2 linked regions of the Arabidopsis thaliana genome follow. The protein of the gene in region 2 interacts with the protein of the main gene of each other region in a pairwise test. Each region holds a gene or a part of one and is shown on either strand. Other genes may lie near its edges.

Region 1 (6,807 bases), on a different chromosome or scaffold from region 2:
GTAACCAAGATTTGACATTATTACATCATCTGTATTTGTGTTTAGGAACGGCCTTCTTCCCTCTGCAAAGCTGTATGAACCATTCTTGTTGCCCTAATGCAAAAGCCTTCAAAAGAGAAGAGGTATCCTTCTTACATCTTCGTCCTCTTTATGGCCTACAAATCTTAAGGATCGAAGATTTTTCATCAACACTTTCAGACTGAATCCAAGTGTAACTCGTTTGTCTTGTGGGTTTTGCAGGACAGAGACGGACAAGCAGTGATAATTGCATTAAGACGCATCAGCAAGAACGAAGAGGTACGCATCTTCTCTTTAATCGTAATAGCAATTGAATATTTTGGAAAAGAGAGCTTGCTTTTGAGTTCCATATGTAAAACAACAGGTGACGATTTCATATATCGACGAGGAGCTTCCATACAAAGAGAGACAAGCATTACTTGCAGACTATGGTTTCAGCTGCAAGTGCTCTAAGTGTCTTGAAGATTCTTCATCAATTTGAAGCATAATTTTTGTTTTCAAAAGAACAGAAATTTTCAATTTTGCCTATATAGTGATTACACTGGAAATCACTACTGAAATAAAGAGTATGGCGTTAGTTTCTCTACGCAACATTGAAACAATAAAAGGACATCTTCGTTTGAAGATCAAGCTTTAGTTCTTTTTCAATATATATCTAAAGATGATGAACAAAGCATGTACCGATTCTAATCATGGTCGTCAATATTGCACCTAACAAACAGGCTACTTTTTAATGTTCAAAGTCTTGATCAGACGGAATCATCGTCATAGGCTTTCTTCTGTTCCATCACATCACCGTTTACATCATCCTCGTCTCTCTGAACACAAAGCACACGAGATTCGTGAGGATCATCATCTCCGAGTACTTACTTTTTGGCAAATTTAGTTTACCAACATAAGTTTTCGAGAATCTACTCGTGCTTACCTGAACATGGGCATCTCTGAAAGGTGGGGGTGGAGGAAGAGATATGAGAGGAGAGCCGTTGGCTGCTTCGGGATTCTCTTCCTCAGATTCTGCAACATCATCAAATTCCCGAGCTGCCATACTCGTAGACAATATAACCTGAAGCACCGTAACCATGTAACCAAGTCTATTATCTCGGCTTTTAACAAAAACACATCTACAACGTGAAAGATCATCAAAAGCACTAAGAATTAACATGATCCCCAACGTCGATCTGCTTCAAGTGAACACCATTTCTGCAGAAGAAGAAAGATGATGTACCTTATCGGTAGCTGAGGTGCCAATAGAGAACCTTCTTCTTTTCCAATTGTCTTCCTTTGACGAGGACCTGTTAATTGTGTCTTCATCGTTCCACGCTCCACTTTCTTCTTCAGAATATGATTTTGAAGAAAGCATATTCCAACAAGGTGGTCTCTTCTTCTCATTCTCCACCTTCTCTTCTTCACCTCTCCCTATCAAGCCTAAAACAGATGGAGAAGGTTCATAACGTGTGTATGAACTGATTTTTAGTTTAGACATAAATCTAATAGTATAGATAAGTTTACCATCTTCAACAGGTTCTTTCGTAGTATATTGATCCACATAATGCTTTTTCCTGGACAGTGAAGAAGTATTCTGCAACTCGTTATGTGGATCACAAGCAGTTCTCAAATTCCGACCATTAGTCTCTTCATCGCTCACAATATCCAGGCCTACATCCCTATTATTGCCTTCACTTCCAGCAAGATACGTACTAAGTTGGTTTCCCAATTTCTGAAGACGGGCTTCTGACCTATAGGTTTGGCATTGTGTTATTGAATGAATTTTTGCATTCTTAAATAAGAAGCAATTAGAAATAGAGATAAATGCCTTGCCTCTTTAGATCATCTTGTGCCCGCAAGAAACGGTTATATTCTTTCACAAATTTCTTCGAGCTTGAAGTAATCCTGACACACAAAAGGATTGAACAATACTTGTCACCAGAAGATCAAGTCCCAGATTTGCCAAATAAAGTTTCTTCAAGTATATCGCATCATAATTAATTTCAAGCAAACATCAAAAAGGAATTAGTCATTACCTCCTACATTCATCTTTCTCTCTATCCAACTGGGTCTCAAGCTCCTGGATCCTAGAAGTAAGAATGTCTACTTCATGTGCCTTCCTTTCAACGGACGCCTTTGGACAAAAGAAATTTGTCAATTAACTCGTATTTACGATGCAATCAAATCAATTGTGGAATGGAGAAATTTACCTCCAATCGTAGTTTGTCATCAGTTAGCATCTTAACATCCATCTCTACATCTTTTAACTGCATATAGACAAATTGGACTTGGGTCCTTTAGCAACATCTTTACAAATGTTTACATCCACTAAACATTAGATTAAGATAAAGCGAAATCACGTCCTCAACTAACACCCAACCAAGAAAATGAAAGTTTCGAACCTGCTCTTCCAGAACATTATTGTAACCATGAAACTTATTTCTTCCATCTTCTGCCCTGTCTTCAATCCTATTCCCAACTTTCAAACCACCAGCATAATCACGTCGTTCATCAAATCTACGGTTCTCCCTGTAGTCTTTATCTCTGTGATAATAAGAAATATAAAGCCGCATTGTTAAAGCATGGCCATCAAATTACCACTGAAATTTCACATAGCATGAGCATAAGCAAAACCGAGGGGAGAAGATACCTTCGATTCTCAAATGGCATAGAATTGTCATGTCCTGCAAATTTGAATTCCGTCGGTAATAAGAAAAGAAAGAAATACAGAACAAACAGTTGACAGAGACTTTTGACTCTGCCTAATCGACAACAGAACTCCATAAACCCAAAGCTGTAGATCTTACCACTAAACCTTTGTACCCGTCTTCCACTTCTGTCTAAGGAAGGTCTCCGCTCTGGAGAAAACTGTCTACCAAGTCTATCTCTTAAGTCACTATCCATATTGTGACGTCTATCTCTTAAGTCACTATCCATATTGTGACGTCTTCCTGCAGTAGACGAAACAGACTTTGCAGTAAAGCATACTTGTGCTACAGATGTGAACTCCATTTCAAACAATCAGAATCATGCCAGTCAACAACACTTGGATAAGATCACAGAAAACTACTAGTAACATAAAGAAAAACGTAATGGTGATTACTTCCCAGTTCAAAGAGACCACAATATAATGTCCTCTTCTTACCAGCAGTTGGAAAGAAACCACAATTGGGTACTAAATAAGTGGAGTCACTGAATCTCATTGATAAATCATAGGTTGAGAAGGCTTCAGATTATGTTGGACGAGAGAAAATAAGAACCAATCTTGAAGTTCCATTTAATTACACAATCAAAATCCACCAAATTTGATATACTGACAATCAAACCCCCATAAACTGCATATTTCTTGATCCAAGAAACCGCTTGAAAGACCATTGAAGATATAAATAATCACAGAAAATACCACGTGCTCCACATACATAACTGGAAGTATGAAAATGCCAGAAGTAATAACAACAGGCATTGATAAATCCTAATAACAAGCATTGCTTGCAACCAAATCTCGGGAGTCTGAAAACCATAGTTGTCGAAGAATAAGTACCCCGCAAAACCCATGATAGATTTTCTTCATAAAGAATGTGCTTTCAAGAGCAATAAGAAAACCAAGATAAATTTCACCACAAAAAAACCCAGCAGATTCCACTCCAATAAGAAAACCAATATAAATTGCAGCCAGAAAGACCAGTAGATTCCATTCCCGGATAAAAAATAATACTAAGCCTGTGAGTAGCTATCTTTCTGCATATTCCAGAATGATTCCGCAGGACAAAACTAGTCAGTAAAAGTTGATATGGAGAAAACCAAATCCAAAGCAAAGTATAATACTGATACCATTACCATGTGTTTATCAAACAGAACACTGTAGGCTGAAACGTTTTACACAATCTCATAAAATATGGAATAATACTCACAAAGCAAATGCATTGAACCACAAAACTTCAGAAGAAAAATACTTCACAGAATCATCAAAGTATAATATAAAAATCTTGCAAAGTCTAAGCAAAAGAGACTTAATTAAATAAAAACTTTTCTATTTTACTCTAATAAAAAGAAGCACTCATAAATTCATCAATCCTTCCACCATTAACAAACTTAAACCAGAATAAATAGCCTATTCAAATGCATAAACGAAAACATTACCTGTAAAAGAAGATTCGCCAGGACGACGAAGCTCAGCATTTCCATGAGCAAAAGTACAATTCGGCCTCGAACAATCACCAGTCTTATTGAACAGAATACAAAGCTTCGTCTTATACATACTCGACCCAGACATGATGTATAAACCAATTACAACGAAACCTCTTTTCTTCAGATCAAAACTTCAAAAGTCAAGCCAACCTCAAAAAGTCAAGCAAACCTCCATAACCATAGATTAACACCACCGTCTCGTTCCTACATACGAAACAGAAGAAACGCTTCAAAATGGAAATCTCTAGATTCTCACTGGAATAGGATTTTCTAAAAATCTCTAGAATCGAGCATGAATAAAAACCAGTTATACATCAATTTCGAGCTATGTAAGACTGAGAAAATCGAAAACCTACAATGGCGATTTTATGCGGTTCGTTTTCTCGCTAGGTTTATCGTTGAATCACACCTTCTTCTTCTTCTTCTTCAATGGAACTTAACGGCAAGGAGGAGAAAACAAGTCGGACGAAAATGATATTACCGGAAAATGAAAACAAAAAGAAAGCTGAAACAATTTAAGGATCGATCCTTCGTATTTATATATTTCTTTTAAGAAAGAAAATAAGTAAAAACAGAGCTGGTATTTTACTATTTTGCCCTTATGTATTCGAAGGATTAACAAAATGTCAAGATTTTGGTTTTGTATACTACCATCAAATCCGGTTTAATTAGAGGTATTTAGTTCTCTAATTCTATTCCAGTTTTGTCTTTTTTCTTTTTCTTTTTTGTTATTAACATTTGTATGATCTGTCTAAATTAAATTACTGAATATTATCTCTATATAAATTTGTACATCTCTCCATATAATGATACAACATTTTACTAAAGTATCTGTACCATTTTATAAATCTTCATAAATGGAAACTGAAAGGTTCTTATGTGTAGAGAAAAAAGCAATAAAATACAAGAGATGGAACATAATCTGAACACTTAATAAAAAAGTTCAAGTAAATGGAGTATGAATATCTCTAAACAATTAATATAGGTAAGTCCTATATATTAGTTTCTCTTTTCTGAAAAATAATTAATCTTGTGAGTTTTATTTTCAGATTTCTAATAAAGTTTTGCCAAAAGTTGACATAGTAAAGATATTAAGATAATGCTCGATATTTTGGGAGAGTTAGAAGTATATAAAATATTTGCCTTGTGATACAATTTTGGTTCTTCGAAATTACATTTTCAATCTTGGCAAATTTACAAACAGGGACGACAAAAACCAAACGCAATGATCATAACAGCGAAGTCATAGACTTATCAGAGAAAGGGAACAAGGAGTATAGGACCAAGTGATACAACTAAGTCAATAAAGCCGATAATAGGCATATGAAAGGTATGATCAAGATTAACAAAACTCCAACGCATATTGCAGAATTGGCCCAAGGGTATGATACGATATCTCGTAATGTCTCTCTGATGGTTTGACCTAAACAAACTCAAACCAAACCCGTTGCTCTCTTTTTAGTCTCTCATGTAAGATCACACCTGAAGATCACATAAACAACATCACACAGAACCAACAATTCTTCATCCAGCAAAATGTGGCAACCTTTTTGTTTCAACGCAGGAAATCAAGAAGGCAACACAAATTATCCACCAACAATTCTCAACATCGAACTCGTATAAGTAATGACAGCAACCATAATTGTTCCGTATGTTAAATCATCACATTTTCCTTCTCATTATTGATAACAGAATTGTATGCGAATGTCTTTAATCAAATGATTAACAATCATAAGACTTTTGACAACTAAAACAGGAAGAAGCAAGAGCATCTCCAACGAAAAAATAGGGATTAATATTGGAGACGGTCTTAATCGAATAATAAAACAGAACAATCATCAATTTCAGTTAGAAAAACCAAATCTGAGAAAAGAAAACATCATTGCACTCCAAACAATCCATCTCGCTCCAACAACTTTATATTCAACCAACAAACCTCATCGTAAATTCAGAGGAAACCCAATTCGTAAATAATGAAAAAGAAGATAGAACAAATGTGTGAGGCATTTCCAGGATCAAATAACATAGAAAAAAAAGCCAAATGATCAGGATATACCACAATCAATATTGCGTCAATGCCATTATACCTAAAGGAACCATATTTAATCCTTCAGAATTGGTAAAAGACGCCATTCATTATTAACAACAATAATAACAAACACAAAGATTTAGGGAAGATCTAAAAAATGCTCAGTGGAAGGAGAAGTCGTTTATTAAAGAGAGCTCACGGCAAAACAAATTTTCATTGCTTTGTCCACTGCCCTTCACGCACCTTCGTGCTATTTTATCATCATCGCAAACCAAATTTCCCCAATAAACAAAAACAAATCAAACTAATAAAGCCTCAGTGTGTGTAACAATTCAGATCATTGATTTTAAAAAAACCTCACTGAAATCCGCTAAGATAATTGTTTTTATCATCATAGGCAATTCAAAGGGAACACCAAAACAAAAACTTTCATTATAGTGGGCGAAAAAGGATTTACTCAGACAGCCAAGGGTTGTTTCTTCAAATTCTGGGTGAAGAGCCCAGATCTGAAACTCTAGTCCACGAAATATTCGTTTCATCACCATAAACCCTTTCTACGCCCCAGAAAAAAACGAAAACTTTGATAA
Region 2 (4,555 bases):
ACTTAAACCTGTTAATAAACTTAACATTGATATAATTATGGTAAAATAGAGAACAATGAATTATGTTTGACAAGATCTTCCTTTTCAAATTATTTAATTTAATCTTTGCATATTTAGACTTGCAGCAACTGTCAACAAGTCGGACACAACAAACGTTCATGCAAGCGTAAAGCAGTGCCAAAACCACCCAAGAAACCTCAAGGACGACCAAGGAAAAAACAGAAAACAATGGATGAAGAGAACCCTATCACTCAACCAATACAATCTTCTCTTCAAAGTTAATGCTTGACAAGTCTTTACTTTAGAATATCTTGTCCCTCTGAAACGATTGTTTTTTTTTGTGACAAATATTGTTGTGTTGCAACAGCTTCGATAGTTATGTTGGTTGGATTTATTTAAGCATGACTCTTTGGATTATTTTAAGTTGTTGTGTCTTTCTTTCAGCTTCTAAAATCCAAACTAATTAAGCAATTCAAAATCATTTAGAACACTAAACGTTTTTTTTGTAATAAATTCAAAACAGTTTTAAAGAACATCATGTGGTTTTTGCGCTAAATACAAATGTCTCGTTGTTGTTTTTTTTGGAAATTAATATCCCATTAATATTTAATACTGTGGGGTTAAGTTTATTAACAGGTTTTAGTTCAGGGTTTGTTTTACTAAAAACATAGTTTAGGGTTTAAAAATGGATCTGGCCAAAGTTGAGGGTTTTTTTCATTAAATTCCCAATGATGTTTACTAAACTAACTAAAACAAGTAATAACAAATAAACTTTAATCACTATCTTCTGATCTCATTGATGACACGTCACTATCAATATCTTCTAATTCTTCTTTATTATCTCGAAGGAATTCTGGTTGCTTATATCCGGCTCTGGTCCAATCATAAGACATGCTTGAGCTTCAGGAGAATCTGGGTTCATTCTTGATCGAGTTTCATCTAGTATTTGACCTCCAATGCCAAAAGCTCGCTCGCTCTTCCATCCATGAATGATTTGAAAGTATTACCTGCATCTGCATCACTAAACTCAAAATTTGTAGATAAATAATTTTCAAAGAGCTTTTGGACTAACATAGATATGCCATGAGTTGTCCATAATAAACTGAAACATGTAGTGAAGAACCCTAATCTTGATCACTTTGGATGCTTCTTCATCAAAAAGAATTAGTGATCCTTGTAAACTATAAAATAAAAATATCATTAATACAATTTACAAACTTTTATATATATTACATAATTATAAAATTTTAAAATCCACTAATTTTAGAAAACATATTATCCTGTAATATATCGCTGATCAATTCCTAGTTGTTTATAATTTTTGGTGTGATCATATATATTTTCAGTTGGTATATGTCACCATGCAACCTAATTTGTTTCTTTCAAATAATTATATTCTAATTCATATAGTTTTATCTTTTTGTGGTCTGGAAATTCAAAAGTTTAACCCTAACCCTAAGTAAAATATCTCATGCCTACCCTTAAAAAAATAAAAAATAAGCAGCAGTCCATAATTCCATTATAGAGAAAACCAAAACCAAAACCACAATCTCATCAACCAAATATTATTAATCGTCCGATAACCCAATCTCTCTTTTCTCCAAACGCTTTTTTTTTTCTCTCACTTCAAAATCTCCCCGAGACCTCTCGCCTTCTCTCGCAGCCGACGATCCCATCCAAAACCAACGCTCTCCGGTGATCGTCTTTCCTTTACCTCGCCGACCTTCTCCGTCTTCTCAATTACGATCTATCATCACCAGAATCCGTTTTCTCTCTTTTAACTCCGATACAAAACTTCCGATAATCCCAAATAAACGTTACGAATTTCAGACTCTTTTTTCCAGTTTCTGTTTGAATTCGATTTCGAAGGATTAGATTCTCCGGTGAGATTTTTAGAAGCGTGTTTGATTTTTCAAATCAAAGTTTGTCAAAACTCTTAGCGTGAATTTTCTCCAGAGTTTATCATCTCTTATGTGACTGTGTTTTAATAGCTTCTTCTCTATAGCTCTTCCTTTGTGCTTCTTCTCTGGGAAACTTCTCTATTCGTATACCTAATTCTAGGGTTCGTTTATCCTAACAATTCGAGATTTAGAGGGCTTTAGGATTCGATTTCGTGTTTTAATCGTGTGGATCTGCTTTCAATTCGTTTATCGTTTCGTTCCACTGAATTGAGTTTGTTGATTGCTTAGACTTTTATCCTCGTCTTGTTGTTTGCTCAATTGAAGAGCAGAGTAGCTTCCGTTAGATCTGCTTTGTTGTGGCATTGATGGAGAGGAGAAATCAATTCATGTTACGTGCTCCTGGAATTCTGGAATAATCTTAATTTTCAGTTGAAACAATGCTTTGCTTCTCTTATTTTCCTGTTAATCAATAACTAAGTGTGAAGTGTGGTTTTTATCGAATTTTTTTAGTATCATTTTGATGCAGGTTATTAACTCATTCGTCTTCTTCTTTTTCTTAGTTCTACTGAGACGTTAGAAGAATTGTGGCTGTTGTCGACTGCAAGGAGAGCGCTTACTTTAATTGCTGATTTCATGAGACGAGATGGCTTTCTTTAGGAACTACTCAAACGATACTGTGTCACATAATGTTCTTGATGAAAATGAGGAGCGGCAAAATGCTGCTACTTTTCAGAGTTCACCTTTGAATGAAGATGTGGATGGTACTTATAGTGAAAGAGGCTTTGACATGAACATGGACGTACAGTATCAAAGTGACCCAGAACCAGGATGTAGTATTAGGCAGCCAAATGAGACAGCAGTTGATAATGTAGCTGATCCTGTGGATTCCCATTATCAATCTTCGACAAAGAGATTGGGTGTAACTGGTAGATGGGGTTCCACATTTTGGAAAGATTGTCAGCCAATGGGACAAAGAGAGGGTTCTGATCCTGCCAAAGATTCACAATCCGGTTACAAAGAAGCATATCATAGTGAAGATAATCACTCAAATGACCGGAGTGAAAAGTTAGATTCTGAAAATGAAAATGATAATGAAAATGAGGAGGAGGATAATGAAATGAACAAGCATCAAAGTGGTCAAGCTGATGTCCCAGCAGATGAAATGTTGTCTGATGAATATTATGAACAAGATGAAGATAATCAAAGCGACCATGTGCACTACAAAGGGTATAGTAATCCTACAAATTCTAGATCACTGCCAAAGGCAGGATCTGCTGTCCATAGCAACTCAAGGACTTCAAGAGCAATTCACAAAAACATTCACTATAGTGATAGTAATCATGACCACAATGGGGATGCTGATATGGACTATGAAGAGGAGGAAGATGGTAAACTCTTTTAATTTGGATTCCTAAATAGATTTGACTCTGTTGTTTGTTTGTACGCAGTACTAGAACTTACGTCTATGTTTTTTCCTCTGAATACTTCCCACGTCAAGTGCTTGGTTTGAACTTCAGTAACATTTGATCTTATTTCTCATCAGAGGATGACCCTGAAGATGCTGACTTTGAGCCCTATGATGCTGCTGATGATGGTGGTGCAAGTAAAAAGGTTTGACTTCTTACAATTCTTGTGTTGGGATACATGTTCATCACAATGAAGCTAAAACTGAACAAAAGAAGGGAGATACTTTCTGAACCATTTCTTAACTAAGTTTGCTATTCGGAAGGATCTTCATTTATAGTTAACATGTTGTGTTCTAGCTTGTTACTTGTTATAGTTTTGATGGGATTTCTTACATGTTACAACTGTGTGGTTGTTTGATTTTAGCATGGCCAAGGTTGGGACGTTTCTGATGAAGACCCTGAGAGTGATGAAGAAATTGATCTTTCCGATTACGAGGACGACTACGGAACAAAAAAGCCCAAGGTTAGGCAACAAAGTAAAGGTTTCCGGAAATCAAGCGCTGGACTCGAACGAAAATCATTCCATGTTTCTAGTCGACAAAAGAGGAAAACATCATATCAAGATGACGACTCAGAGGAAGACTCTGAAAATGACAATGATGAGGGTTTTAGAAGCCTGGCCAGAAGAGGCACAACTCTCCGACAAAACAATGGAAGGTCCACCAATACCATAGGACAGAGTAGTGAAGTTCGCAGCTCCACCCGATCAGTTCGTAAAGTCTCTTATGTAGAGAGTGAAGACAGTGAAGATATAGATGATGGGAAAAATCGTAAAAACCAAAAGGTATGATATCTTGTTACATTTTTTAAGGTTATACATTTTTACACCCTCAACTTGCTTATGTTATCGTGTGGGAATCTAATACATTTGATAGAGACTGGCAGTAGTTTCATGAGCCTTCTCTAAAGCGGTCTAAATAACTCATTGCTATAGTTATAATCTGCACGTCGTACATATTATCTTTCTGTTGGAAACATGTTAAATTTGGAGAACTTACGGTCTTTTGATTTGATTAACTCCAACTATTTGACCTAGAGCAGCCATTAATTTCAACTACTTGGCCTAGAATGAAAGCAATTTCTTTAGAAGCCTTGCCCAGCTACTTAATGAACTTTTTTGTTATGTTATTCCCTTTTATCTGATATATGCTCGTTAGGATGACATTGAAGAGGAGGATGCTGATGTTA

The links.
Region 1: the proteins of CHR5 (region 2) and AT3G21810 interact in a two-hybrid assay, tested with the Arabidopsis thaliana proteins (one large-scale study listed by BioGRID).

The regions. Positions count from the first base shown.
Region 1 is NC_003074.8:7,682,321-7,689,127, reverse strand, and holds AT3G21810 (Zinc finger C-x8-C-x5-C-x3-H type family protein), read right to left. Parts: upstream 4,773-6,807; 5' UTR 4,548-4,772; intron 4,396-4,547; 5' UTR 4,277-4,395; coding exon 4,144-4,276; exon of another isoform or gene 3,016-4,143; coding exon of another isoform or gene 2,955-3,015; coding exon 2,811-2,954; intron 2,688-2,810; coding exon 2,654-2,687; intron 2,548-2,653; coding exon 2,406-2,547; intron 2,271-2,405; coding exon 2,214-2,270; intron 2,138-2,213; coding exon 2,040-2,137; intron 1,909-2,039; coding exon 1,837-1,908; intron 1,755-1,836; coding exon 1,528-1,754; intron 1,444-1,527; coding exon 1,244-1,443; intron 1,082-1,243; coding exon 944-1,081; intron 837-943; coding exon 768-836; 3' UTR 512-767; downstream 1-511. Other genes in the region: histone-lysine N-methyltransferase ATXR2, read left to right, coding at 46-122, 241-297, 383-499.
Region 2 is NC_003071.7:5,553,533-5,558,087, reverse strand, and holds the start of CHR5 (chromatin remodeling 5), read left to right. Parts: upstream 1-1,527; 5' UTR 1,528-1,883; exon of another isoform or gene 1,884-2,289; intron 2,290-2,461; 5' UTR 2,462-2,544; coding exon 2,545-3,289; intron 3,290-3,444; coding exon 3,445-3,512; intron 3,513-3,731; coding exon 3,732-4,151; intron 4,152-4,524; coding exon 4,525-4,555. UniProt on the Arabidopsis thaliana protein: DNA-binding helicase that specifically binds to the promoter of target genes, leading to chromatin remodeling, possibly by promoting deposition of histone H3.3. Probable chromatin remodeling factor.